7 linked regions of the Macaca fascicularis genome follow. The protein of the gene in region 6 interacts with the protein of the main gene of each other region in a biochemical or structural test. Links are inferred from orthologs where the notes say so. Each region holds a gene or a part of one and is shown on either strand. Other genes may lie near its edges. The genes, in order: KCNJ4, IQSEC2, CYSLTR2, KCNA4, TANC1, DLG1 and ARHGEF26.

Region 1 (4,657 bases), on a different chromosome or scaffold from region 6:
CCTCCCCTCCTCACTCTGAGGGACCAGCCTGGCTGCTCCCGGGACCCCTTGAGCCCAGCGCTACCAGGCCTACCCGCCACCCCCACCCCACACTGCTCCAGCTCTGTTTCCCACCGCCGCTAGTTTCCTGGTTACCATGTTGCTGGTTGTCATGTCGCTTACATGTCCTCGTGACTCAGTGGTCCCCGCAGAGGGGCCCCCTCCTCCTCACACCCCCCTTAGCACTCGCCCCCGCCTCCCCCAGATCCACATTAAGAAGCAGCCCGCCCTGTAAGCCTACACTGTTCCTCCTCCCCTTCCTTCTTATCCTAAGCTAAGACATCTTCTCACAGCATCTCCCAGAGCTACTTCATTCTCTCTTTCGCAAATGTCTACGAACCTACTATGCTCCAGGCTGGCGCACGCGGCTTTCACAGACCTGACACAGTCTGGAAAGTGCTCAACACCCTGATGAAGTCAGTATCATCATCCCTGTTCTCCAGTTGAAGAAACTGAGGTTCAGAGAGGTCAAGCCACCCACCCAAGGTCACCCAGCAGAAACTCAACCAGCTCTGCCTGGTCACAGCCACTCCAGAGGATTTTCTGAGAGAAGAGCTTTCTTTTCAAGGATGACCCAAAGGGCCATGAGGAATAGTACCCCAGATTCCCACTCTAATCCTGGACACTCCTCCTTGGTCAGCTCTCTATTTCCACCATATTCCCACTGCCCCATGTCCACCTCCACCCACTAGCTGTTCATCTGTCTTTTAAGGTAAAGTAAGTCTTTACTCCCATCTCCCCAGCGCTTTCCCCAGTCTGTGAACAGCCCTCTGCTCATTGAGCCCAGGGCCTGCCTTGGAGGTCACTGGGGGAGGGAGTGATGTCCCCATGCCACAGACATGGAAGCTGACAGTTGGGAGGAGAGTGACCAGCCCAGAGGGCTGCTCTCCCAGCCAGCTGAGCCAATTTCTGGGAGCCTGAATGGAAGACATATAAGACCCACTGCCCAGTGTGGAAAACCCCAGAAAGAGTCCCTCCTCCCAATGAGAATGGAGTGGAATGTTCTAGGCTCAGCCCTTCCAACTCCAGCTGGGATATGGGTCAGCTCAGTGGCCAACAGTCTCTGTTCCCACCATGCTGCACCCATCTCTTACCCCAGCTGCCCTGTTCCACCTTTTGCTCCCCTCATCACAGGCCAAGCCAGAGCGACAGCAATGCTCTTGGGCCCCTAAAGTCCTGCTAACTGCCCCCAAAAGGCCTGAAGCCATGGAGGTCATGGGACTCGATGTGGGGGAGAACGAACACACACACACACACACACACACACACACACACACACACACACACACACACAGCTCCAACCCTTCTCTGGGCCTCCCTCCCTGAGTTCCCCACTTCCCCCAAACCTGCTGCTGAACATTCTACTGCTCTTGAGGCCCTGCTCTGTCAGCTGGCAAGGCTGCCCTGCCTCTAATACCCTCTGCTCCACCCCACCCAGCTTGCCACCTCTCAACTCCCTGCATCCTCTCCATCCTGAAGCGGGGACACTGGGGGCAGAAGTGTGGGTAGGGGGCAGGGAGGCTGACACTGGTGGGGGTATATTTGGTCGGTTGCAGGGGAAGTTCTCCCTGCGGGAGGCTCATTGAGACCTCTCTTGCCTTGGGGTGCTCCCTACACTCGGAGGAAAAAGCAGCCTCTGCCTCCCTCCGCAGCCGCAGTTTCTATCACTATGAATGTGCAGTGCCTCCTCTACCGATCCCTGCCCCTGCGCCCTGGGGTCGTGTGGCGCAAAGCAGGCGCTCAAAACATGAGAAGTGGGATTTCGTTCTTCAGATCACAGGGCCATTTGCAACGAGGCTGCAGCTGGGGAGGCGGAAAGGCGCCATCCCCCACCTTGCCACAAGTCACCTGCCTTGAAGCTCCCCGGCATGACAACTGGGGTGGGTGGAGGCAGGGAAAGGTCATGGCCGGGGCAGGAGGTCAAGACCCCTTCCACCCACCTCTCTCCCCCTTTCCAGTACACAACCCAGACCGCGACGCTCCCAGACGGACAGAGCCCGCCCGCTCCCGGGGAGTCACGGGACCGCGCGCGCGGCGCCGGGCAGCCGGGACCCAGCTCCGGATCAGGTGCGGAGCGGGAGGGGCCGGAGCGGCGGGCCCGGGACACACAGACACGCACGCGGCGGGACAGACTGACGGACAGACTGACGGACAGCGCCCGGGGTGGGCGAGCGCGGCTTACCGCTGGGCGGAGGGTCCGACGAGAGTCCGGGAGGCGGCGAGCGGGCGCTACATCCCACGGCGGGATCCGGCGGGCGGCGTCCCGGGCGCGGAGAGGGGAGTCCCGGTGCCTCCTGCCTCCGAACTCGGCCGGCCGGCCCGCGCCCCCCTCCCCGGCTGCCGCTCGGTCTGCGCGTGGGTCTTGGGGTCTCCGCGCGTCCCGGCCGTCCCGCGCCGCTCCCCGCGGGCCGCCCAACTTTCAGCGCTGCCCCGCGCCGCGCCCTAGGCGCCGCCTCGGCGTCAGCATCGTCGGGCTCGGCCGGGCTCAGAGCGCGGGGGTCCGGGGGCCCGGGGCGCCCCACCGCCCGCGCCCCCCACCCCCGCCGCAGGCGCCCTCCCCGCCGCCGCCCCCCGCTGCGCGCCGCTCCCTCGCTGTTACCCGCTCCTGGTCGCGCGCTCTGGCCCCGGCCCTGCGCTCCGCTCCCGGCCCCGCTGCGCTCGGCCCCGGCCCCGCGACCCCTCGGCCTCCCGGCCTGGGGTCGCCCTCCCCGCCCCCGCCGGCCGGGCTCTGCCGCCACCTCCCCGACCGCTCTTGCGTCTCTCTCCCGCCGCCGGGGTCTCCGCCGCCCTCGCGTCCCCGTCCCTCTCCCGGCCTCCCTGCCTCCTGCGGCCCCGCTCGCCCTCTGCCCGCGGGGTCTCCGTCTCCGTCGCGGTCGCCCCCTGGCCTCCTCCCGCCTCCCTCTGCCCGCGCTGCCTCTCTCCCCTGCGAGTCTCTGTCCGTCTCCCTCGCGGCCTCTGTCCTTCTCTGTCTCTCCCCCTCCCACTCTCCGTGCGGCCCCCTCTGTCTCGGACCCCGGCCCCCGCCTCGGCCGCGTCCCCGGCTCGCCCGGGAGCCCGAGCTCCCGCCGCCCGCGGCGCGCCGAGAACTCCCAACTCGCGGCACGCCGCCCCGCTTTGCGAGACTTTCGCCCCTCCTCACACGTGACCCGCGCCCCACTGCGGAGGCCGCGCGTCCCCCATCCTGGGAGCCCCGGCGGCCCGCGGGGACCCGCCCTGCCCGCCCCTCGGCCTAACCCGGCCTCAGGCCCCTTCCTGCGGGGCCAGCGGCGCTGAGCAGGGGCTGGGGCTGGGGGCTGCTGGCCCCGCTCCTGCCCTGGATCCTGCCCGGGTTTTCCTCCTCACCCCAGGAGCGCTCCTCCCAGAACCCGTTCCTGGATCCGCTCCCGGGTTTTGTGGGCCCCCCCCAGGGGGCAGGTGGAGAGAGTTCCTCTGAGCCGGGAAGGGGATGGGTGGTAGCTGGTCCATCTGGGGTCCCACGGAGTCCGGCCCCTCTCCTTGGCGGTCCTCGTACTCTCCCGAAGTACCGCCGGTTAAGGACCCGAAGCACCCCACTCCGGGAGTCCGAGGTGGCCCTGTTGGAGGGACCCTCACGATCACTCAGTCACCATTGCCCCATTTTACAGATGGCGAGACTGGGTACCAGAGAGGCTCAGAAACTCGGCCAACGTCACCCAGAGATGACAGAACAAGGCCAAACCCTAGTCTCTTGTTCTCTGTCGTTCTCCATTACCCCAAGCTGTCAGGCCTGGGCCCCACAGTCTGGGGTGTCACGGAACCCCCAGCAGCACCTGTCAAACCAGCTACTTCCTGACCATCCTACCACGTCACTCTAGCCCTCCGAGGAGACAGGAGGGAAAGTGCTCCTCCTTCCAGGGTGGTAGGACGAGAGAACACCTGCAGTTAGACAGCCAGCAGAACTTCCCTGGGAGTCTGGCCATCACCAACTAGCCCCAGTGCAGAGAGGGAGAGACTGAGGCCCCCAAAGCCAGGTGGAGAACTGATGAAATCTGAAATCCCCTCTGGCTCTCCTGAGCCTTGAGGATGTCAGCATAAGAAGAGCAACATGCAAATCACCACAACTGTTTCCCTTCCTGGTGGGCTCTCCCTACTCAAAAGGATCCAGTCCCAACTCCTCAGTGTGGTGTAGTCAGGCCCCACCTTATCTGGCATCCCACATCCCATAAATCCACAGGTACACCCTGATTCCACAGATTCCAGAACATGCCAGAACATGCCACGGGTCTCCACACCTCTGCCTGCACACACTGTTCCTCCTGCCTAAAATGCCCTTCCACCTTCTTTGCCCAGAGAATTCCTGCTGTTCCCCAAGTCCAGCCTCAGTGCCACTTCCTTGAGAAGGCCTCCTGATGACCCTAGCAGAAGTCATTTATCACCCACTCATTCATTCAACCAGCACTAGGCACCCACCACGTACCAGTCCCTGGGCTGGGCACAAGTATGGTTCTTGCTTAGTGGGATGAGGAGTCAGGCTAACCTAGGCTCAAAAGCACCTAGGAGCTACTTGACCTTGAACAACTTTTTATTTAATCTGTCTGTAAATTGAGGACCCTAATGTCCTCCATTCCCCAGGGGTAGATTAAGTGAGGTGGATGCACAG
Region 2 (3,906 bases), on a different chromosome or scaffold from region 6:
GGATCCCAGTGCAGTAGGAAATGGCAGACATGTGTGCATTACTGTCTCCTGAAGTAGAGTGTGCTCTGAGCCATGAGAAAGGCTATATAGTACAATGTATGGTACCTTGGGAACCCAGAGGAAGGGGAGGAAACTTTCTTCTGGGAGAACCACAGAAAACCCACTTGAGAAAACAGCATTGGAGATGGGCCTTGCCAGACAGAAAAGATTTAGCAAGTTAGAAATACTTGGAAGGGTGTTGCTTACATAGGCGTTGCATCAGCAAAAGCTTGGAGGGGTGGGATTGTAACGCAGTAAAGGTAGTGGGAGATCGTTCTAGGGTTGGGGTGTGTCAACATACTTGCCCAGGTGTGAATCCCAGTTCTGCCATTTCCCAACTGTGTGGCCTTGGCAAACTGCAAACTGTTTAACCACACTGAAACATGATCAATAAAATGGAGAGAAAATAAAATGGAGAGAAAACCCTTTTAGAGCTATTTGGAAGACTCAGTGCAACTGTACAGGTAATATATATGAAAACGCCTAGTACATAGTAGCTGCTAAGTACATGTTAGTTTTCTTCCTAAAACCAAGAAGGTACTTGGTAGAGATTGTTGAATGAATGGATGAAGCTTTATAAGCGAAAAAGTCACTCTGCTCTAACCTCTATGATCTGGCCTTGCCATCAGCCTGGGCATGCCTCCTTGGACCTGGTGAAGAGGTGGAGGGAAGGACAGGAATATTGAAGGGAAGATCTATATCATTTATCTGTTCATTCATACCACAAAGATTTAATTGAACATCTCTTCTGTGTCAAGCAATGTGTTGAGCTGAGCTAGAAAGAGAAACCAGGCCTGGATCCATCCCTCAAGGGAGGAATGGGGAATAGGAGATCAGTCTGGGAACCAGGTCTGATCCCAGCTCTGAGTGCTATTGAAGTCTGATGGGGAAGTATATCCGTTATCTGTTAGCTGTGTAACAAATTACCCCCAAATTTGGTAGCTTAAAACTGACCCAAGAGACTGAGCCTAAACCATAAACATTTATTATCTCATACAGTTTCTGGGGGCCAGGAAGCTGGGAATGGCATGGCTGAGTGGTTTTGGTTCAGGGCCTTTCATGAGGTTGCAGTCAAGCTGTAGGGAGAGCCTGCAATATCTGAAGACTAGACTGGGGCTGGCAGTCTGCTTTCAAGCTCACTCACTTGGCTGTTGGCAGGAGGATTCAATGCCTCACCCTGTGGGCCTCTCTATAGGACTGTTCGTGATGGGCTTTCCCCAGGTTGGGGGGTCTGAGAGAAAGAGTCCAAGTGACAAGCGACCAAGAGTGCTCAAGATGGAAGCTGCAGTCATTTAAATTTTTTTTTTAATTTTGTAAATTAAAAAAAATTTTTTTGCAGTCTTTTTTTTTTAAATTAAAAAAATTTTTTTTTGGCCGGGCATAGTAGCTCACACCTGTAATCTCAGCACTTCGGGAGGCCAAGGCAGGCGGATCGCCTGAGGTCAGGGGTTTGAGACCAGCCTGTCCATCATGGCGAAACCCCGTCTCTACTAAAAATATAAAAATTAGCCAAACATGGTGGTGCGCGCCTGTAATCCCTGCTACTGGGGAGGCTGAGGGAGGAAAATCGCTTGAACCTGGGAGTTGGAGGTTGCAGTGAGCTGAGATCGTGCCACTGCACTCCACCCTGGGCAAGAGCGAGACTCTGTCTCAAAAAAACAAATAAAAATTTTAGAGACAGGATCTTGCTGTGTTGCCAGGCTGGAGTGCAGTGGCGTGATCGTAACTCACTGCAGTCTCAAACTCCTGGGCTCAAGTGATCCTCCTGCCTCACTCTCCTGAGTAACTGGGACTACAGGTGTGTACCACCACACCCAGCTAATGTTTTTATTTTTTGTAGAGGTAGAGTCTCGCCATGTTGCCCAGGCTTTTCTTGAACTCCTGGGCTCAAGGGATCCTCCCATCTTGGCCTCCCAAAGTGCTGGGATTACAGGCATGAGCCACCATGCCCAGCCTCTGCAGTCTTTTAAAACCTAATTTCAGAAGTGACATACATTCACTTCTGCCATATGCTGTTTGTCACACAGACTAACTCTGGTACAATGTGGTACCCTAGGGTGTGAATACCAGGAGGCAGGGATCATGAGCGGTCAGTTTAGAGTCTGGATACCACAGGGAAAGAGCATTACCAGCTGTGGTCCAGACGCTCAAGGTCAAATGTTATGGATTTCCTAAGAGAATTCCCACAGAGGAAGCTGGGATTTTGGTTTACCCTCGGGGATGGCAGAGGCAAGAATGTGGCTTGAATCAGGGAGGAGGTAACATTTGGCTTGAGTCTAAATGGACACAAAGGAGGTATTGGGGTATGAGCTGAGTGGGGGAACTCGTGGGCATTAGTCCCAGCTCCTGTGAGCTCACAATGGTTCCCTGGGAGTCATTTTATAGACCACAGGGAGTTTGTCAGGGCTGGGGGAGGGGAATCCACCCTCCTTGCTGACCTACCAGGAAGACTCCCCCTTTTCCCTTACCCCCCTCCCTCATTCCCACCTTCCACCATTCTTCCCTTTATCTTTCTTTCTTTTCTCTCCCTTTCCCTCCTCTCCTCCCCCGCCTGCACAGGTAAAGTCTCTGGCTGAATCCATCGACGAAGCCCTGAACTGCCACCCGTCAGGGCCCATGTCTGAGGAGCCAGGTTCAGCCCAGCTGGAGAAGCGGGAGTCAAAGGAACAGCAAGAGGACAGCTCGGCCACATCCTTCAGTGACCTTCCCCTCTACCTGGATGACACAGTTCCCCAACAATCCCCTGAGCGACTGCCCAGCACAGAACCCCCACCCCAGGGCCGGCCCGAGTTCTGGGCGCCAGCCCCTCTCCCGCCAGTTCCTCCACCAGTGCCATCAGGAACCCGGGAAGACGGTAGCCGTGAGGAAGGCACTCGCAGGGGTCCCGGGTGCTTGGAGTGCCGGGATTTCCGGCTGCGGGCCGCCCACCTTCCCCTGCTTACCATTGAGCCTCCTAGTGACAGCTCCGTGGACCTGAGTGACCGCTCAGATCGCGGCTCTGTCCACCGCCAGCTGGTGTATGAGGCTGATGGCTGCAGCCCCCATGGGACCCTGAAGCACAAGGGGCCACCAGGCAGGGCCCCGATCCCACACCGCCACTACCCAGCCCCTGAGGGCCCAGCCCCAGCCCCACCAGGGCCCCTGCCACCAGCCCCCAACAGTGGCACTGGGCCCAGTGGTGTGGCTGGGGGTCGGAGGTTGGGGAAGTGCGAGGCAGCAGGCGAGAACTCTGATGGTGGAGATAATGAGAGCCTCGAGAGCTCCAGCAATTCCAATGAGACCATCAACTGCAGCTCCGGCTCCTCTTCTCGGGACAGTCTAAGGGAGCCTCCGGCCACCGGCCTGTGCAAGCAGACTTACCAGCGGGAGACAAGGCACAGCTGGGACTCGCCAGCTTTCAACAATGATGTGGTCCAGAGGCGGCACTACCGAATCGGCCTCAACCTTTTCAACAAGTGCGTGCTGCCCGTTCTAGCCTGCTCGCCCTTTCCTACCCTGCCACGGGTACTTGGGTTCCTGGGACAGAACTCCACGCAGTGATCCCGGTTCTGCCATCCTTTCATTTTGTGGAACGGTATTTCTCCCCAGACATTCAGGGAAGAGGATTGGCAACAGGGTGAAAGAGTAGAGAGTCCCTTAACACACCTGGGCAGTCCTAGTACTGCCTCTGGCTGACTGTGCGATCTTGGGTGAGATGACCCCACTAAATGGATTCTGAAACTTGTCCTCCCCACCTTCCCTTTTTAGAGGGGAGGTGATATGGTGTAGAAAGAGCCCTAGCCTGGGAAACAGGAGATCTGGCCCCCGAGTGGGCCTTTGGCCAGACTCGCTGCATAGCCCTGGGCAAGGTGCATTCCTCCCCTGGGC
Region 3 (4,631 bases), on a different chromosome or scaffold from region 6:
ATCCAGTTTGGCTGCCGCATTAGCCAGAGTTCATTGGGTAATTGCACAATCCCTTGTGAGGCTTTTATCTTAAAGCCTTACCCTTGGGGAACTAGAGTGCCTCAGATATCTGGTGCATAGAGCAAACTATAGAAAAGCAGAAAGGATCCTTGATTCTGGAGTACACAGGAAATCTTAATGATGCCCAAAGTAACCATCATGTATTCATGTACACAGCAATGAGTAGTACACTGAAAAAATATATCATCTTTCCTCCAAAACGGAGGCTGCTCATGTGATCCCAGGTGGATGGGAGGCAGAGTGATATAATGAATGAAACCATGTGCTTTTGAGTTAAAAGGGTCCTGGGTTTAAGTTTCAACTCTGCCTTTTAGTCTCTTTTATTACTGCAGCCCTCTGAGCTTCAAACTCTCCTCTGCCAAAGGAGCACTGGAGTGAGTACTGATGAAAAAAAAAATGGATGTGAAGTGATTAACTTGGTGCCCAACACACACAAAGAATTCAGTCAGTACTAGCTGACAATCACAATAAAATTTGTGACAATAACGTACAAAACTCAGAGAATTAAATAGCAGCCTTCTTTACGGCCAAGTAAAAGATGGGGCCATTTCATCCGGAGAAGAGCCAACCAGAAAGACATGAACAATTCTATTTACTTTCCTTTATTTTTATTACACAAGTAGTACATGTTCATGGTAAAGAAAAATTACAATGTAATACAAGCTGAAATAAACTTAAATTATGAACTTTACCACCAACCAGACATATCTAAAATTTCACATATATGCTTTTTTTCATCTTTCTTGAAATATATGAAAATATTTTTAAACAAAAATAAGCGCATTTATAATACTGTTTTATATCTTGCTTTTTTCTTATTTCCATGCCATGATCACCTTTCTTTGCCAAATAACAACATCAATGTCATCATCTAACTGGCTACAGAATAACCAATTATATAAACATTATGAAATATGTTTAACCAATTTCCCACAATAGCTATTATTTAAGTTGTAAGAATGGACCATGTGCCCTGGGCTAAACCAGATTGGACCAGTTCTGGTTCCACCTGGAAAAGATCCTATGTTCTCTCGGTCTCATCTTTACCATCTTTAAAATAAGAATTACTCCAGTTCTTAAGGCTAGTATGTGGATCAAATGAACTGATGCATGTAAACGTGTTTTGTAAAGTACTATGTGAATGTTTACATTCATTAATGAAGGTACTAAACAGGTGTTCTCCACTGAGTCAAAACAAGAAGAAATTTGATTAACATGCTGTTGGTCTCGTTGGGATGATTCCTGGCCTGCAGCAGGCTAGGAGTGCAACAGCAAATGCTTCAATGTGGTTTAGGGGCTCTGGCTCTGTTTTCAGTCCCCAATGGGAGAAACCAGAACGCAGCCCTGGCATAAACTCTGTCCACTTTCCTCCTGAGGACATGAGGTCCAGAGAAGGTAAGTGCCATGTCTATGGGGCTCCTGAAAGCCAGAGTGAGCCACCTTCTGCCTCCAAATCCAATGCCATCGATCTTCACTGTGCCCACAGTGTGTTAGTGACTGGCCAGCTATTAAATGCCCACCTTGTGTTTAATCTTGAAGATTGCAAAAGAAAGGAAGCCTGGCTGCCTTGGCAGATTCTAGCAGATATGGGCGTGATTCAGGTACATTCAGAACATACGACAGCCTCAACTTCTCTAACTTTTAACCATCGAAGCACTGGAAACAAATCCACCTCTTTAAAACATTAGTAAATCGAAACACAAGTAGATTCTCATCTCAAGAGTTTATGTGGCTGAGGTAGATAGAAATTTCTAGAAGTCTTATGTTTCCCCCCAAATTATTCTGTAATTTGCATTATGTATGTAGTGTTGAAAGGGAGATTTGATTGGATTGCCTGAAATTATACCTCCCTTTCTCCTAATACATATTACTCTCAGGTATATGTCAGAGACAGAAAAATATTTTGAATGACGTAGGTCATCTGTTTTTATGCCGACCACCTATTAGAATCACCTGAGAAGTTTCTGGAAAACAAGACAAAATACTGCAGATGACTTGCTGATCTCTAAAAGTTAAGCTTCAATTATTCTAGGGGTAATTTTCTAATCTCCTCAGAGTCAGGTGATTCTGACTTGATGTGCAGCCAGAGTTGAGAAACACTGGTTAGGGTCCCAGTGGGGTAAGGAACAGATTATATGCTCATGATCTCACATACTCTTTCACTCTCATTGTGCCTCTAAGCAAAACCATTGAAACATATGTGCTCAGATTCAACTTCTTCTACCTCTAAAACAAGACCCTGAATGAAAAAAATATATCTTATATAATAAAAGGACCCAAACTATGAAAAATAGGATAACTGCTATACAGCTAAAAATGGAGGAAGTAAAGTTCCTCAATGCAATATTATGCAGCAGCTTTAATTTATGATTACAAAGAATTCACAGCAACATGGAAAAACCATAGACTGAAATGCAGGAAATGAATATAAACGTGTCCATAGTGCAGGGACGCAACTATGAAAACTAAAGTTATATGTGCATATACACATTCACAAACACGCACACACACACACACATACACACACACACACACACGGAAAACCCCCAAAATATCAATAGAGGCTATCTTGGTGGAGAATTTGGCTTCCTTTAACATTTTTGTACTTTCACAGTATTTTTTAAACTACCATGTACATGATAGGAAAATAATATTTATAGTAGAACAAAACAAATTTACTTTTCAAAAATTACTCCTCTATTACGTGATCTTCAAGTCATGATTCTCAACACTGAATTAACAAAACAAAGATTAAAATGCCCACCTGAAGTTCTCTGTCTTTCAGCTGCCCTGGCTTCTGCTGCCTCTATCTCTTCTGCCTTTCTCCTCCAAGTAATTCGGATTGCTCATTTAAAAGAAAAGGGAAACAGCAAATTATATTTATGAACAGTGCCAACCAATAGCAAGAAAGTCAGGAAGTGTAGCAGGTCATCTGTGCTTTTTAGAAGCCAGTATAGATGTCAGTGCAAGATCTCTTCTCAAGAAGGGGGAAGATTTCCAGTTAAGGGCTACATCTAAAAAGAAGAAACCTAAAATTGCCCTGCCCCTCTAATGACTGGTTTTTGTCATTATCTTTCTCAAGAGAACAAGCGGATATAATGGGTTAGAGTCAGGGATTTTAAGTGGCTTTTAGTTCTCCTGAAAGGTTTCTGTTTCCATGGCAACAGAAATAGCAACACTGCCTTACACACACAGCACTTTAGATTTGTTTAAAGCACTTCCCTCACTCACTTATATTTTCAATTCACTTGCACTCCAGCAGAGACCTTATCCACTCTGCTGAAAATGTTCTGTCAGAGGTTACCAATAACCTTGTTGCTCACATAAAAAATCCTTTCTCAGTCCTCACCTTCCTTCCCGTCTTGTTTGCATAGTTGACCACTACCACTTTCCTGAAACTTCTTCCTTGTTTCTCTGACTTTCCTGGTTCTTTTTCTCCCCCTCAGATTGCTCTTCTTTGCCTCTCTTTCTGATGCCTCTTCTTCCATCCCTTTTCTACATGTGAGCTTTCCCCAGAGGTCTGTGTTCTGACTTCTTCCCTCCTTCTCTTGCTTTTATCTATCTGATGCACAATCATGGCCAAATTTAATGTGACCCAGATGGACCTTTTCTCTTCCCCTCTTAGTCCTGCATCCCCCCATCTACCCTGTCTAAACAGTGGCACCACAATAATTTAGCCCATCCATAAACCTAGAAGTCACTTTTAACTTCTCTCTTTCTTCCACCACCCACTTCTGAGCCAACAAGTTCCATTTGTTCTGCCCATAAAATATGTCCCAACTCCAACCATTGCTGACCTCCCCATCACTGTTCAAATCCTCATTTCCTGGATAGAAAGCTGCAGTAACATTAAGCAAGAAAAATACATAAAAGGGATCCAAATTGGAAATAAATAAGTAAAATTATATCTGTCTGCAAATGATAAAATTTTATACGTAGGAAAACCTGAAGATTCCATACACACACACACACACACACACACACACACACACACACACACACAAAACCCCAATAGAACTAATAAGCAAATTCAGCAAAGTTGCAGGATAGGAAATCAATACACAAAAATCAGTTGCATTTATATATACTAACAATAAACAACCAAAAAAGGAAACTAAGGAAACGATTCCATTTAGAATAGCATCAAAACGAATAAAATACTTTGGATATATACTCAGTAGTAGGGTTACTGAATCTTGTTGAGATCTCTGCACTCTCATGTTTACTGTAGCACTATTCACAATAGCCAAAATATGGATCACCCTAAATGTTCATCAACAGAAAGATGGATGAAAAATGTATATATTCACAATTGAATACTATTTATTGATTTAAAAAGAACAAAATTTTGTCATTTGTGGCAACATGGATGAGCTTGGAAGACATTATGTTAAGTGAAGTAAGCCAGGCATAGTAAGATAAATACTGCATGTTCTCATATGTGGAAGCTAAAAAAGTTGACCTGATAGAAGTAGAGAGTAGAATAGTGGTTACTAGAGGCTGGGAAGGGGAGGAGGCAGGGAGAGATAGACAGAGGTTGATTAATGGACACAAAAGTTGATCAGTGGACA
Region 4 (2,888 bases), on a different chromosome or scaffold from region 6:
CCATCTTCCCCTACTTTAGTTAGTGGCCTAAGGACACAAACACTTGGAGCTGTGTAGACAGACAATAAAAATGTAGGTTGCTGTCACGTTATTCATTACTGCTAGTGTTTATTGTCATTCATTAGGTAAAAGGCACTGTGATATTCTATCAACATCCATTATCTCATTTAGTCCTTACAAACATGAGATGGGGGAGGTTGTGTTATTATTTGTACTTTATAGATGAGGTGACTGAAGTGCATTCAAGTGGTGCTGCCTGCATAAAGAATAAGAATACTGTTGTTGTTGTTTTTTTCTTTTTTCCGACTTCCCCAATCCTGAGTCAAGATAGAGAGGAGTGGAAGGGCACTTAATTCAGAAACACTTTATGAGTGGAAATTTTAAAAATTGCCTTGAAATAGATGAATGATGGAAGCAGCTGTAAAGTCACAGCATTATTTTTGTGAAATGAAGAGAGTGACAGTGAGAATTAAGACCTGGCATTGGTGAAGGGGAAGATAGAAGCAAGAGCCATGTGAGCCATGAGTGGAGAGAGGAAAAATAATTGAGTTACCATAAAAATAAACTGAGCTGAAATAATATCTGAAGAAGAAGGAAAGAATGATGTTTAGTGAGTGAGAATAGTGTGCCCCATACTCTTGAAAATGTATGGGTGTTTGGTGTGTTATGTGACTTTCTTGAAGAAAGAGAAGGATGTGTATATGAAGAGAAATGCTCACTTTGCTCTTTATGATTTGTTTCCTTTTTACTTTTCTCCTATGCTTGTTTCCAATCCTTTTTCAGGTGAAGTGCTTCTTCTGCATGATTTTGGCTGAAGAATGCTCTGCATTTCCTTGATTTCTATGGAGACCTCAGAGCTGGTTTTGCTTCTGCTGACACCTCATCTAGCACCTTCTCTACCTCCCAGGGTCTTTGCCTCTATCTATGGTTTGGCATCGTACCTGGGTCCAGGAAGCCTTTGATGAACTTAAAAGGAGAGCCTGCAGAATCGTCCTGATAGACTTTGAGTAGAAATGGCTGGACATACTTCAAACCACATCTTATTATGGTTCGAGCCATCACTAGAAGGCAAGTGCTAACAGTAAAGGCTTATTTGCATTTTATTTAAATTTAATGGACTGAGCATTGGCCAATTTCCATGGCAGAAAAATGTATTTCATTTTCTAGGCACAACTTCTGGCTGTCAGACACTTGCTGCCTTTGAATCTTGCAGCATCATCACTAACCACATCCCAGACATATTTCCAAATCTCAACATCTACCCCCAAAACATAGGTGTCTGAGACACTCCAGCATTTTCGGACTTCTTAGTCTTGAGAGTGCTAGGCTATTTATCTCGACCAGCCAAGCTCTGGAGAGCAATGTTGAATCCCTGAGAAGAGGGAGCATGGGGCGTGCTGATTTAAAAACAGAAAATGCAAAGTTGGACTGAAAATATCCTTAGTCTTCCAAGCAATCTGCTTAAGGGTTCCAAACTTACCTTAATTTGGTGAGAAAAGAAGCTGCCCTATTTTTCTTTCTTCTTCTTCTACAACTGGAACCAGCCATTTCCGAAAACCACCACCATGGAGGTTGCAATGGTGAGTGCGGAGAGCTCAGGGTGCAACAGTCACATGCCTTATGGTTATGCTGCCCAGGCCAGGGCCCGGGAGCGGGAGAGGCTTGCTCACTCCAGGGCAGCTGCAGCAGCTGCTGTTGCAGCGGCCACAGCTGCTGTTGAAGGTAGCGGGGGTTCTGGTGGCTCCCACCACCACCACCAGTCACGTGGGGCCTGCACCTCCCATGACCCTCAGAGCAGCCGGGGTAGCCGGAGGAGGAGGCGACAGCGGCTTGAGAAGAAGAAAGTCCACCAACGGCAGAGCAGCTTCTCTCATTGCTCTGACCTGATGCCCAGTGGTTCTGAGGAGAAGATCCTGAGGGAGCTGAGTGAGGAGGAGGAAGACGAGGAGGAGGAGGAGGAGGAAGAAGAGGAGGGAAGGTTTTACTATAGTGAAGATGACCATGGGGATGAGTGTTCCTACACGGACCTGCTGCCTCAGGATGAGGGCGGTGGTGGCTACAGTTCAGTCCGCTACAGTGACTGTTGTGAACGGGTGGTGATAAATGTGTCAGGCCTACGCTTTGAGACCCAGATGAAAACTCTGGCCCAGTTTCCAGAGACTTTGTTGGGAGACCCTGAAAAGAGGACTCAGTACTTTGACCCTTTGCGCAATGAGTATTTTTTTGATAGGAACCGCCCCAGCTTTGATGCCATCTTATATTATTACCAATCAGGAGGCCGCCTGAAGAGGCCAGTCAATGTCCCCTTTGATATCTTCACTGAGGAGGTGAAGTTCTATCAGTTGGGGGAGGAGGCCCTGTTGAAGTTTCGGGAGGACGAGGGCTTTGTGAGAGAGGAGGAGGACAGGGCCCTCCCTGAGAATGAATTTAAAAAGCAGATTTGGCTCCTCTTTGAATATCCAGAGAGCTCCAGTCCTGCAAGGGGCATAGCCATTGTGTCTGTCCTGGTCATCTTAATCTCCATTGTCATCTTTTGCCTGGAAACCTTGCCTGAGTTTAGGGACGACCGGGATCTCGTCATGGCACTGAGTGCTGGTGGGCACGGTGGGTTGTTGAATGACACTTCAGCACCCCACCCAGAGAACTCAGGGCACACAATATTCAATGACCCCTTCTTCATCGTGGAAACAGTCTGTATTGTATGGTTTTCCTTTGAGTTTGTGGTTCGCTGCTTTGCTTGTCCCAGCCAAGCACTCTTCTTCAAAAACATCATGAACATCATTGACATTGTCTCCATTTTGCCTTACTTCATCACACTGGGCACTGACCTGGCCCAGCAACAGGGGGGTGGCAATGGTCAGCAGCAGCAGGCCATGTCCTTTGCCATC
Region 5 (3,906 bases), on a different chromosome or scaffold from region 6:
TTCAGGATTCAAGAGAGAAGGAAGATGGAGGGGAAAAAATATCACCCTACCGCTTGCTGCAAATGTTACCTCATGTTTAAGTTTTACGAAAAAATAGACTTCTGAGAATAGGCCTTAAAAATCTTTCACCTTCAGCTGGGCACAGTGGCTCGCGCCTGTAATCCCAGCACTTTGGGAGGCTGAGGCGGGTGGATCACCTGATGTCAGGAGTTGGAGACCAGCCTGGCCAACATGGTGAAAATCCATCTCTACTAAAAATACAAAAATTAGCCAGGCGTGGTGGTGGCTGCCTGTAATCCCAGCTACTCGGGAGGCTGAGGCAGGAGAATCACTTGAACCCGGGAGGCAGATGCTGCAGTGAGCCAAGATCATGCCACTGTACTCCATCCTAGGCGACAGAGCAAGACTCTATCTCCAAAAAAAAAAAAAAATCTTTCACCTTCATTTTTCCCTTCAAAAAAACACAAAGCCCCACAGCAAACCCATGCAAATAACTACCAGCAGGAGTAGGTTTAAACTCTGGCAGGCCTCTTGGCCCCACACACTCCATGACGGTAACCAGGGCTAGATGCCACCATTTGAAAATGTGCAATTCGATGCCAACAGGAAACTTACCTGACATCTTGATAAATATGCCTTGAGCTAAAAAGGTCAGAGTTTCACCCATGTGGGGCTCTCTGGACTAATTTTTCAAATTCTTAACATAGTTTCTAATTCAAGCAGCTGAATGGTTTACAACAGTTTTATGTTATTAATATTTATCACTGTAAAATTGGAATATAGGGACTTGGAGAAAGATTTGAGAATTCTTTGTTACCTGAAAATTTGCTCTTACAGTCACAATCAACTTCAACCAGGCAGGAAATTTAGAAATAATTTTGGTAATAAATGAAGAAAGCGTATCTCCATAATCAGGTTTATGAAACTCAGCTTCATTTAAGCCATCTATCAAAATAATGTATTCTTCTTCAGGAATTTTCTGCTCTACAGGATAAAATAATTTTTTCAAATTAAGAAATTATACATTTCTCTAAGACAGCAACACCCAGTGTATTTTAGTGCCCAGTTTAATGTTAGAAACTAAAAAGGTTTACATATGGCACAAGAAACAGTTTTCACAGAAGCATATTTTCTATTAAATTTATAGTGAAAACTGGAGCACAGAGCCAAAAGAAAACCAATTCTCACAAAACAAACATATTGCATGACATACGTTAGCAGAATCTCACTCATGTATATAATACAGTTAGCTCTTCATAAACCATTGTCACTGGGGTGAGCTACACAAAGATAATGAACACATAACAGACTTCCAATCCAGAAAGGTCACTAGGTCCCCCATGAGAGCTCCTTAGTGGATTCCAGGGAAGGGAAACTGACATCCTCGCTGCCCCCAACCCAGGGCAAAGTGCCCGGCCCAAGCCACACAACCACACAGTGTGAGAGCTCCACACTACTGACTCCTCCAACAGGGCTCTTCTCCGCGAGCCAGAATCTGGTTTCCTATTTATTAGTGCTGATTTTCTGCCCAGGAAATAGAGAAGAAATGATGACATATCTGTTTTCTATCCCTCTAGCACCTTCCAGCAGAGGGGCCATGTGGGCAGATAAACAAGCTCAAAAGGTGAGGAGGTGAGGGGAGAGAAGATGGGAAACTGAAGGGACCATCAGGTCACTGATACCTTGTTGGGGACAAAAAATTAAAATGGAAACCTTTAGAAGTCACTTTAAGGTTTCAATTCAACTGAGCAGAGGCCCTGACAAATATATATTCTGGAAAATTCCTCCAAATAATCCACTTATTCCCTCAGATACTTAGGAGTGCAAAATACACAACAGTCTTCCGTGGTGCAAGTCATCTAAATAGCCCACAGTTACAAACTACTTTGGAACCGCTCAGTCATCACATTCATTCTTATCAGGGTGCTCCTTTTAACACTATACCACAGGGGTGGTGTAGGAGGGACCTCATGGGGCTGGTTCTGAGAAAGAGGAGCGGATGGGCACTGACGCTTCCACATTCTCTCCCTGCTCCAGCTCACTTCTACCCCAGGGCCCCGCTGACCACCTGCCTTCTGGGGACCACCTGTGTATGCTGTACCACTACTGAGAGGGGCTGTAGGTAGCTGCTATGAGGTACCATTTCTCAGGTTTGTGAGTGGCTCCAGCACTCCCCTCTTGAAAGCTGCCACCGGGTCCTGCACACAGGATCGGAGACTCAGCATGCTCTGTAGTTGGGGCTCCTTTATCAGAAGGTCTCTGTAGGCGGCCAGCTGATGGGACCGGCAGAGCAAAGCTGCGATGCTGTGCACAAACTCGGGCACCAGGCAAGTGTATGTGTTGTCAGCCTGGCAGTAGTGGTAGGCCACCACCTAGGGGGAAGCAGAACTGTCAGCGTCACCTCACCCTCTTCACACAGCTCCTTCTGCGATCTCAAACAGGAACACAACTCTGCTCGTCCGCTGATAACAAGATACATAACATCTATTGCCCAAGACTGGGTCATTTGTTAGCATAATTGTTCCATTTATTCCTTCCTTCCCTTGTGTGGTTTGCGAACCTTTAACTGCATCCACAAAATCCATCTTGATTAGCATAAAAATCAGCACGTTACTTTGTATTGAATATAAGCAAACAGCATTCATAAAATGTAAAATTTACCCTGGCTTAGAGCAGCTCCAAGCCATCCTAATATTCTCAACATCAAAAAGTGCCATCTTCACTAGGCTTCTGTTCTCAAGAGCAGCAGCACCTCTTTAGGAAACCCTTTTGCTGATCCCAAAAGGCAGATGATAAAGCCAGAGGCTGTGAGACCGGGGCTGCAGAGTCGCAGCAGCTCCTTCTCCTGGTCCAGAGGGTCAAGACGTTGGCCCCTCCCCACACCCGCACTGCATCAAGGGACACTGTGGAGAAGTTCAATAGGGACGCTGTCTGAAGAATGAAACCCGAAATCACCAATTCTCTGCCCATCATGTGGAGAGACAAGTTGGAGGAGAGAGGGAGCTGCCTGGGTACTGAGAGGAAAAGGAATCGTTCTGTTCCAAGGGACCTGCAGCATCAGCAGGCTGCTTGTGAGAGGGACGCCAGGAAACGGCCAGACACAGAAGTGTTGGGAATGGGAGGCATGCAGTAGATAGAAGAAAAATCCAATACTTTTCCAAAGAAGGATGATAGGAGAAACACAAGTACAAGGTAAGGAAGGCAAAGAAGAGCAAAACACTTGTGCCAAGAGATACATGTTTTTTGGAAGTATCTGCCTTGCTGCTGTCCCACTGGACGCGGCAAGACCCTGCAGGAAGTAGGACAAGAACCACTAGCCACAGTTCATCACTGAGGGCACCAGACACTGAGGTTAGATGCCTTGCCAACCTGACACAGATAGTCAAGGATGTGGGATTAGATCCCAGGTCTGCAGACTCTTTAAAAGACAAGTGGCAAAAGTAAATGTGCAACAGCTTTCCTCTGGCCAACCTGGAGCTGCCATGAGACTTTTGGTTTAGATTAAATTTATCGTCAACACTCAGAGGAAAGCTGGCTGCTCTCCAACTCTCACCTGGACAGAAATTAGCAGGGATACACGTGAGCATCCTGTAAGCTTGTGCAAACCATCATGAGATGTCCAGTACCACAGTCTTGCACGGCGTTTCACAAAAGCAGCTTTGCTTTTTTTTCCATGACCCAACAGTGGGTCATGAAATCTATTTATTTAGTTATTTACTTTTATTTTTTATTTTTTTGAGATGAAGTCTTGCTCTGTTGCTTGGGTTGGAGTGCAGCTGCACAATCTTGGCTCACTGCAACCTTCGTCTCCTGGGTTCAAGCGATTCTCCTGCCTCAGCTTCCCTAGTAGCTGGGATTACAGGTGCCCGGCACCACGCCCAGCTAATTTTTGTATTTTTAGTAGAG
Region 6 (3,906 bases):
ATTATAGGCATGAGCCACTGTGCCAGGCCCAGGTTCCTATTTTTCATTCTGCCAAGAAAAAGTATTCATAAAGACCCCAAACTACCATCTCCCCATAGCTATCATTTCATAAAAGATAAAAAATCCTAGAGTAAGGGCAAACCTTTTAAATAAACAAATGTGTGAAACCTCATTACCACTACTCAATCCTTCTATTTCTCATTTTACTAGGGACAGACAAAAACTCATAAACTAGCATATGGGACCCAATTCTGGATTTAAATGACAACTTTTCTGACAGGCTTAAACTCACTGACAAAGGATACTTAGGTTTTTAATACAGATGGGCATTTCCATGGTAAGCAGAGTAGTAGTTATTATTTATGACAGATTTGCTTCTAATGCATTTGAAATCAGGCCCTCCCCCATAACGCAACTTCAGTTTTTTGTTTGTTTTTGAGACGAAGTCTTGTTCTGTCACCCAGACTTGAGTGCAGTGGCACGATCTCGGCTTATTCCAACTTCCGCTTCTTGGGTTCGAGTAATTCTCCTGCTTCAGCCTCCCCAGTAGCTGGAATAACAGGTGTGCGCCACCACACCCAGCTAATTTTTGTGTTTTTTGTACAGATGGGGTTTCACCATGTTGGTCAGGCTGGTCTCAAATTTGCGACCTCAAGTGATCCACCCACCTCGGCCTCCCAAAGTGCTCGGATTATAGGTGTGAGCCACCACACTTGGCCCCATAATGCAACTTCTAACCCAAGGACTTGAGTCCAAGTCAATACATGATAATTTCAATTTGGTGGGCACACTTAAAATAACAAATTTAATACTGTAAAATACTCCAAACATATAGAAAAGTAAATAACAGACACTATGTATCCATTATCTTTTATCAGATATAAATATTTTACATTATCGCTTAAACATTTTAGTAACTTGATACTGAAATATTAATATTCTATGTTTGCTTTAGCTCTTTCTATGTATGTACATAATAGTTTGAGAAAAAACTGCATAATGCTCCTTTACCTCATATTTCTTAAAAACAATGGCATCTCTTATATAATCACAATATGATTCCAAGTGGCCATCTAATGTTCCTTATTGGAAAAGAAAAAAAAAATTTCCTGGTCCAGGATCCAATTCAGGATCATAGGATCACACACTGTGGTTAGCTGTAAAGCCTCCTTAGTCTCCATCAATCTGACACAATTCCTCAGTCTTGGTCTTTCTTGATCTTGATGTTTTTGAAGAGTATAAAATATTATGTCATAGAATATGCCTCAACCTGGGTTTGTGTGTTTCCTCACTCTCGGATGGCAGGTTACACATTTTTGGCAGGAATACCACAGATATAATGTGTGTCCTTCTCAGTCCATCATATCTGGGAGGTGATATTATATCTATTTGTCCCACTGGTAGTGATGCTAATTTTGATCACTTGTTTAAGGTTTTATCTGCTAGGTTTCTCCACTGTAAAATTATTACTTTTGCCTTTGTAACTGATAAGTATTTTGGGGGAGGACACTTTGAGACTATATAGATATCCCATTTTTCATCAAATGTTCACTAATTTTAGAATACACTGATGGTTTTTGCCTGAAACAATTATTACCATGCAGTTTTCAATATTTTCTAATCATTTCTTCTACCTTGATTAGTAGACAGTCCAAAGTGTTCCCTTCTATCCACTTATTTACTCATATACAGATGCTCCTTGACTTATGATGGGAGTTACGTCCCAATAAACCCAAGTTGAAAATACTATAAATTGAAAATGCGTTTAATATACCTACCCTACTAAACATCATAGCTTAGCCTAGATTACCTTAAATGTGCTCAGAACACTTACTCTACAGTCAGACAAAATCATCCAACATACCTGTTTTATAATTAAGTGTTGCATTTTTCATGTAATTCATTGAGTCCTGTACTACAAGTGAAAAACAGAAAGGCCGTATGGGTACTTGAAGTATGGCTGCTACTGAATATGCATCACTTTTGCGCCTCTGTAAAGCTGAACCATTCTAAGTTGGGGGCCATCTGTGTTTATTTCATTATGGAGTCTAGGATTTTAATTTTACTCTATATATTATAATCTGTGATTATCATTTATCTTGATATTCAAATTATCTCAGACTTGGCCAGTGGGGGACCCCACAGCTTGGTTCCTTGCCTTTTTACACACCCTCATCACTCGTGGACTGCTCCCTTGTTTTTCTGGCAGCAAAAATGTTACAGGCTCATCTTGCACTTTTCCAGTCCTGGCCCCAGAATCAGCCATTTCTCTAAGGAGTCCTGAATCTTTCAATTAACGAATTATATTTAGAAGCCAAGACCTGGGCACCAGATATTCTCATGGCTTATTCAGGGTTATTTTTAGGTCTTCTTAGTGGATAGAGCAAATAAGCATACGTGTGTGTATATGTAAATACACATCTTTCTAGATCTACTCTATTACAATTCATGGGTTCATATTCATAGCTCTAATTATCTAATATCTCCAATCCAATTATCAGAGTTCATTTTATCCTCTCCCTTTTTCTGACAGTCAAACCTCACTCCCACTACTGTCATTACATTAGTTTATTTGCTCAACCCTAGAATATATATTAGTTTCAGAACTGTAAGACCATACACTCCACCCAACAAACCTACTGATTAGAATTTTATTTTGTTTACAGATCTTTCTGTCTTCAGCTTGTGTTAAAGAATCTCTGGGATTAAGACTTCTCCCTTCTCCCCTCTTCAATGTAGTTATTCATTTGAAATGGTTGGATATCATATCCTATGTACAAAGGCCATTTTTATATCTTATTTTTGTGTGAACTATGTATTCTCATCTTTTGTCCATTTTTTTTTTCCCTATTGGGTTTCTGGTCTCTATTCCCTGTTTTTATGAGTTCTTTATATATTGGGAATATTAGCCCTTTTCTTCTTGCAAATTTTTTCTGTCAGTTGTCTTTTGACATTGTTAATGGTGTTTTCTAATAGTTTTTGGAAAAGTTCTTTGGCCATAAAAAAAGTTTTTAAAAATTTTAAGTGGTTAGATTTATTGATTTTTTCTTTTCTTTTCTTTTTTTTTTTTTAAGAGCCAGGGTCTTGTTCTGTTGCCCAGGCTGGAGTTCAGTGGCATGATCATAGCTCGCTGCAGCCTCAAATTCCCAGGCTTAAGTGATCCTCTCAACTCAGCCTTCTTAGTAGCTAGGACTATAAGGGTGTGCTGCCATACCTGGCCCTTATCTCCTTATAATATATGCTGGAGGGTTAGGGTTAAACAAAGGTCTATCTCTAGCAAATGACCTTAAAATAACTTCTCCTCTTACATTCATGTTACCATTCCTATTTTCACTTTCTTTGTCTACCTTATTTACCTGTTTTATCTTGTATGCACTTTCCTGAGCCACCAAAAATTAATCATGTAGGTAAGCAAATTCATTACGTTAATAAAACTAATTAATGCTGTATCTATCCTACCACTCTTTCATACTGTCAAAGGCATATCTGATTAGCAGCTATATTCTGGGACTAGTCTGATGCTTACCTTTTCTGCTACTTCTCGCACAGATTGAACACTTGTTCCATATAGATGATTGTTATACTGGCCAGCTTCAATGAATTTATGTTCCTGGATATCTTTTTCCATCTGCTCTCTTGAAGTCACAAAATGATAATCTCTTCCGTCTACCTCATAATCTCGTTTTGGTCTAGTTGTATCTTTAACAGAAAAAAACTTGGGGAAGTGTTTAATATTAAAAAAAAAAAACCCACAATAAATCCATTTTCTACTTATATCATTGTTTTGTAAAGTTCAACAGATTAATTTAAATCTGAGAAAGGACAACAATATGGAGGATGGAAGAGTAACTGATAAAATAGGTACAAACCGTTAAAAAATGGTTCTACCTATTTTTCCCACACACA
Region 7 (4,352 bases), about 55 Mb from region 6:
ACTTATAATTGGCATTCCACATTGAAACAGCAATAAAAGTTTTGAAAATTAAATGCTTACCTTCCCCATCAAACGTTCCTTGTCCTTTCAGCATTTTTTTCTAAGAGACAAAAAAAAAAAGCAAAAAAAAAAAAAAAAAAAAAAAAAAGGAGAAGCAAACTATGTATGAATGAGCCAAATACAAAATATGGCTATTTTAAGTACTTTTTTTTTTTTTTTTGTCATTACATTAATTAGATTTCCAAGAGCACAGAGAAGCTGAGCCCCGGAGGAGTTCACCCATTTGATAACTACAATTCACTGAAACAATGAAATAAAATGTACAAGATCTCCCATACCCTGTCAAAACAGACTGAGAATCCTCAAATAACTAGCAGGTCAGCTCATTTTACTACTCGTGATTCACCATCACTGTTAAATTGAACTTTGCTATACTTGCAGAGTTGGAAAAAACACATAAAATGTTATGTAATTTCTTTAAGACCATGGGCTCCAAAATAAAACAGGCTTGCTTGTGTTTTGCATATGTGACATTTATATAGACTGGTTCCAGTGCTCTGATTAACCAAGAAAAAATGCGGCTGCCAAAAAGAATCTCCGCCCTATTGCTGAGATCTGTCTTGTTTCTGCGGAAGGCAGCATACACTCCAAAATATCCCTCTTCAGTTTTCCCTGTTTCTTTATGTCATATTTGGCAATATTTTAATAAGTGCAGCTAATGGGACAATACAGGGGAGCAATACCACAACAGTGTCACCCTAACCTGAAGTTTTCAGCTGCCAATTTGTTAAATGCACTCAAGGATGAATGGGCATACAACGGGAATAAAACACAACCATAGGCCATGGTGACAAAAACAAGCAACAAAAAAGATGACAAAAGATTTGTGTCTTTTGTGATCCTGGCAGTTGATTTTCAAATTCACATTCTACCTGAATGACATCAAGTGTGTAGTAACCACTCAAAAAACAATTCAGTAAGTAAAAGCAAAAAAATAATCAACAGGCTCAAACAGGAATCAGCATTTTTCTGAATCAGCTGTGATAACAGCTACCATTGACGGAAACCTCTGAGCAAACTCCACACAACCAGGAATCAGCATTTTTCTGAATCAGCTGTGATAACAGCTACCATTGACGGAAACCTCTGAGCAAACTCCACACAACTTGACTGCAGAGTGCGGGTCTGAGCATGCTCCTCCCCCTTTCAGCTATCTCTTTTAAAAGTGGTCAAGACTCATTCAGCCAATAATCTGCCATATTTCACTCTTGTCCCCCCAATTCTGCCTGAGCTTAGAAATTTAAAGGTGATGAATTTCACTTCTTCCAACAAAGCTGCACTAAACTCGGCTGTGCCGGCCAGCATCAAAGTGGCCAAGAGCTGGATGTACACTAGTAATCAACAGCAAAACACAGAATTAAAAGGGAATGACTTCTTCGGGTTTTCTCTATGCTCCTCCTCCCCACCCCCAACACATTTACTTTTGGCTTAGTGAATGGCGTGTCACACTCCTGCCCACTTTTACCTTTATCCTTCCCAGACTGGAAAACTTCTCCTTGTCTTCCATCACTGCTTTCAGAACAGGCTGGGACATTCTGTTCTTCTTCTTCGAACTGGTAGGACTGTCAAAATCAAAGCCACTGACCACTGCCCTGCGATAAGACGTGGACCGCAAGCCTCTCCGCAGAGACCCTGGGCTATCCACGTCGTTATCGAACTCACTCTCCTCCCCTGCGTGACCCAGAGGTCCTCCTAGGCCCTCCACCATGCTGCGCACCTTGAGGAGTCTCTTGTGGGGCTCCACATTCTGATTGTTGGATTTACTTATTTTAATTTCCGAGGCCAGACTCTTCGGAATGATCTGCTGCTTCCCCACTTTGAGGGCGGCGGGGCTGTTTGTACTCAAAACCACGGAAGGATTCTCGAGGAGCTCGTTCTCCTGGGAGGGGAGCCTTTGGAGGGGAAGTTTTTGTTCTGAAGAACTTTTCTGGGGCGCAGAAGAGAGCCCCCGTTCGGGCTCCTTAGCCTTCTGGCTGGACTGTGAACCCGACCCAGGAGAATCGTTATTAGCGGCAAGGCCATTTGCAGTGGGCGAAGGCACCGGGCTGGCATTCAACCCAGTCGGGTCCTCTTCGGGGGTGCAGGGGGCGGGCGCGTTAGGAGTCCGCGGAGAGCGCAGAACCGGCGGCGGCGGCGCAGGCAAGGTCACCGGGCCATTTGCTGGGGATTTCGGGGAGCCTCCCGGCACCGCTTTGGGGAGCTTGGGTGACTTGGGCCGTCGAAGTCGAGGAGAGGCAGCCCTGTACTCCGGGGATGCCGTCCCACCATTGGCCACCGCTCTCCGCTGGGCTCCCAGAAGCAGGGGGCTCCTATGTACCGTCCCGCTGTCCGAGTCGGTGGGCACCTGGGCGACAGTCTGCGCTGCAGGGAGCGTCCCTCGGTCCTCCACCGGAAAATCTGTAATTAGCAACCCGTTGGGGCTCTGGTAGGACTGGGGCCTCGGCTTGCTCCGGCCCAGCAGCTGGGGCTGAGGAATCGACCGCCTCCGCCACAAAGGGGTTATGCTGTTGCTAGAAAAATCCACTTCGCTCTCGCCGTCCATAGCCGGGCCTCGAAGTCAGCCCCGGTAGGAGCAACACCGGGTCAGTCTTGCCTAAAGAGGAAAGAAGTTAGGAAACTGTGCCTGCGGATAGGCGGGGACGCCTGGCCGACTCGCGTGCTCCGAGTCCGGCGGTCCCCCTGCTGCTGCGCAGGACACGACTGCACCGCACTTACCCGCCCTTTCTCGGGCAAAAACTGCACCACTGCGGTGCGCGGTCCCAGGCAGAAATCTGGGGTGCCGCCCAAATGGATTAATCCAATCAACTCCGCGTCCCTCCCACGCCAAAAGACCACCCGCACCAAACGAGCCCGCCACCAATTCACTGAGTGCAAGCCGAGGCACAAGAAACTTGGGACGAGTTCAGCTTTCTTGGGAAACTCGCCGCGGGACGCTCCCTTCTGTTGCCATCCAGCCGCCCGCCCTCATCATGGGTACCCTCGTGCTCCAGATGCGCGGCTCCCAGGCAAATTTACCTTCTGGGACTTGCAATGTCCGGGGCCAAGGAGCACCCACTGCCCCGTGGGTGGCCCGGGTCCGGGACCGAAGCGCCGCCGCGAGAGCTTAAGAGAACGCTGCCGCCGACCGCGGCACCGGCCCCGCCCCCACGCTTGACTACGCCCACACACTTGGCCCCGCCCCCGTTTCGGCCCCGCCCAGATCCGCCTCCGTTGCAGCCAGAAGCAAGAAGCCGTCTTCCCGCCCCCGCGCGCCTGCAATCAGCCCCAGTCTGCCTGGGAAACAGAGGAGCGCACCTGAGGTGGGTTCTGAGCTCCAGCGTTTGGGCTGGAAGTTGCGGACTAGTAGCTGCGGCGGCACTGGAGTGTAGGCGCGCGGGGTTGTTGCCAGGGGCATAGCGTGAGAACAAGCAAGGGAGTCCTGCTGAATTGCAGCTTAGGAAGCCCTGAATCCCGGAGGTGTGTTGAAACAGAACGCGCGGCGGAGTAGACTTTGTGAGACGCGTGGGTAGTAGCGCAGCATTCTAACGCAGAGTCATGCCCACTCAGCATTCAGGTGGTCTTAATCAGATGGGCTTGTTTCACTGCTGAGCATGCATTATATTATAAACAGATAGATGTGCTTGTTTGTGCCTAGAGTCTTTCTGTAGGAAAGACTGGCAGCTCTGAAGTGGGAAACTGGGTGACTAGGAAACCGGAGGGAGGGAGAGTTTTCATATAATTATTTTTGGTCCTTGTATGCTTTGAATCTTGAAATCTATCTATGAAAAATAAGCTCAATTTACACTACAAAAATAGTATTGGTTTCTAACAGTACATAGACTACAACTCAAAATCCTTACCATGGCTTACAAGAAGACACTGCACTACTGCCGTAACTCTTCAGCCTAGTCTTTCCATCATCACTTTCTCCTTCATTATTTTTTTGGCCACACTCAAAGTTTGCTAGCCTCAGAACCTTCCCTTTCGTTCCTTCTTGACCTGACTTGACACTGCATGAGAAAGGCAGTGTCCACTCCTTAATTATACCATTGCCCCGTTTATTTTCCCAGTCACTTGTTCTCTTCTATTTCTGCACTTGTCAAATTTTGTATATTATATATATGTATTTATGTGTTTATGTTTATTGTCTGTTTTGTCTTTACAAGGTAATTTCAATGAGGGCAGGGGTCATGTTTTTGTTTTTTTTTTTCTCCGTATTTCAGGCACATGGTAGGCACTTAATATTTATTTAATGAATGAGTGAATGAATGACAGGAATGAAGTGAAAACAGTGACCATTTCTTCCAAAGTGC

The links.
Region 1: the proteins of DLG1 (region 6) and KCNJ4 form a complex in vitro, tested with the Homo sapiens proteins (2 studies listed by BioGRID and IntAct, with this or other methods). The link is inferred for Macaca fascicularis from reciprocal best matches to the Homo sapiens genes DLG1 and KCNJ4.
Region 2: the proteins of DLG1 (region 6) and IQSEC2 interact in a test that uses a peptide from one of them, tested with the Homo sapiens proteins (2 studies listed by IntAct, with this or other methods). The link is inferred for Macaca fascicularis from reciprocal best matches to the Homo sapiens genes DLG1 and IQSEC2.
Region 3: the proteins of DLG1 (region 6) and CYSLTR2 interact in a test that uses a peptide from one of them, tested with the Homo sapiens proteins (2 studies listed by IntAct, with this or other methods). The link is inferred for Macaca fascicularis from reciprocal best matches to the Homo sapiens genes DLG1 and CYSLTR2.
Region 4: the proteins of DLG1 (region 6) and KCNA4 interact in a biophysical measurement, tested with the Homo sapiens proteins (2 studies listed by IntAct, with this or other methods). The link is inferred for Macaca fascicularis from reciprocal best matches to the Homo sapiens genes DLG1 and KCNA4.
Region 5: the proteins of DLG1 (region 6) and TANC1 interact in a test that uses a peptide from one of them, tested with the Homo sapiens proteins (2 studies listed by IntAct, with this or other methods). The link is inferred for Macaca fascicularis from reciprocal best matches to the Homo sapiens genes DLG1 and TANC1.
Region 7: the proteins of DLG1 (region 6) and ARHGEF26 interact in a test that uses a peptide from one of them, tested with the Homo sapiens proteins (2 studies listed by BioGRID and IntAct, with this or other methods). The link is inferred for Macaca fascicularis from reciprocal best matches to the Homo sapiens genes DLG1 and ARHGEF26.

The regions. Positions count from the first base shown.
Region 1 is NC_088384.1:13,196,180-13,200,836, reverse strand, and holds the start of KCNJ4 (inward rectifier potassium channel 4), read right to left. Parts: upstream 3,136-4,657; 5' UTR 2,222-3,135; intron 1-2,221. UniProt on the Homo sapiens protein: Inward rectifier potassium channels are characterized by a greater tendency to allow potassium to flow into the cell rather than out of it.
Region 2 is NC_088395.1:53,237,309-53,241,214, reverse strand, and holds part of IQSEC2 (IQ motif and SEC7 domain-containing protein 2), read left to right. Parts: intron 1-2,598; coding exon 2,599-3,494; intron 3,495-3,906. UniProt on the Homo sapiens protein: Is a guanine nucleotide exchange factor for the ARF GTP-binding proteins.
Region 3 is NC_088391.1:27,792,664-27,797,294, reverse strand, and holds the start of CYSLTR2 (cysteinyl leukotriene receptor 2), read right to left. Parts: upstream 2,913-4,631; 5' UTR 2,825-2,912; intron 1-2,824. UniProt on the Homo sapiens protein: Receptor for cysteinyl leukotrienes. The response is mediated via a G-protein that activates a phosphatidylinositol-calcium second messenger system.
Region 4 is NC_088388.1:35,544,448-35,547,335, forward strand, and holds part of KCNA4 (potassium voltage-gated channel subfamily A member 4), read left to right. Parts: intron 1-783; 5' UTR 784-1,565; coding exon 1,566-2,888. UniProt on the Homo sapiens protein: Voltage-gated potassium channel that mediates transmembrane potassium transport in excitable membranes. Forms tetrameric potassium-selective channels through which potassium ions pass in accordance with their electrochemical gradient.
Region 5 is NC_088386.1:54,606,388-54,610,293, reverse strand, and holds part of TANC1 (protein TANC1), read right to left. Parts: intron 2,373-3,906; coding exon 2,141-2,372; intron 985-2,140; coding exon 818-984; intron 1-817. UniProt on the Homo sapiens protein: May be a scaffold component in the postsynaptic density.
Region 6 is NC_088376.1:2,497,369-2,501,274, forward strand, and holds part of DLG1 (disks large homolog 1), read right to left. Parts: intron 3,700-3,906; coding exon 3,527-3,699; intron 1-3,526. UniProt on the Homo sapiens protein: Essential multidomain scaffolding protein required for normal development. Recruits channels, receptors and signaling molecules to discrete plasma membrane domains in polarized cells.
Region 7 is NC_088376.1:57,077,805-57,082,156, reverse strand, and holds the start of ARHGEF26 (rho guanine nucleotide exchange factor 26), read right to left. Parts: upstream 3,158-4,352; 5' UTR 3,076-3,157; intron 2,654-3,075; 5' UTR 2,603-2,653; coding exon 1,526-2,602; intron 101-1,525; coding exon 61-100; intron 1-60. UniProt on the Homo sapiens protein: Activates RhoG GTPase by promoting the exchange of GDP by GTP. Required for the formation of membrane ruffles during macropinocytosis. Required for the formation of cup-like structures during trans-endothelial migration of leukocytes.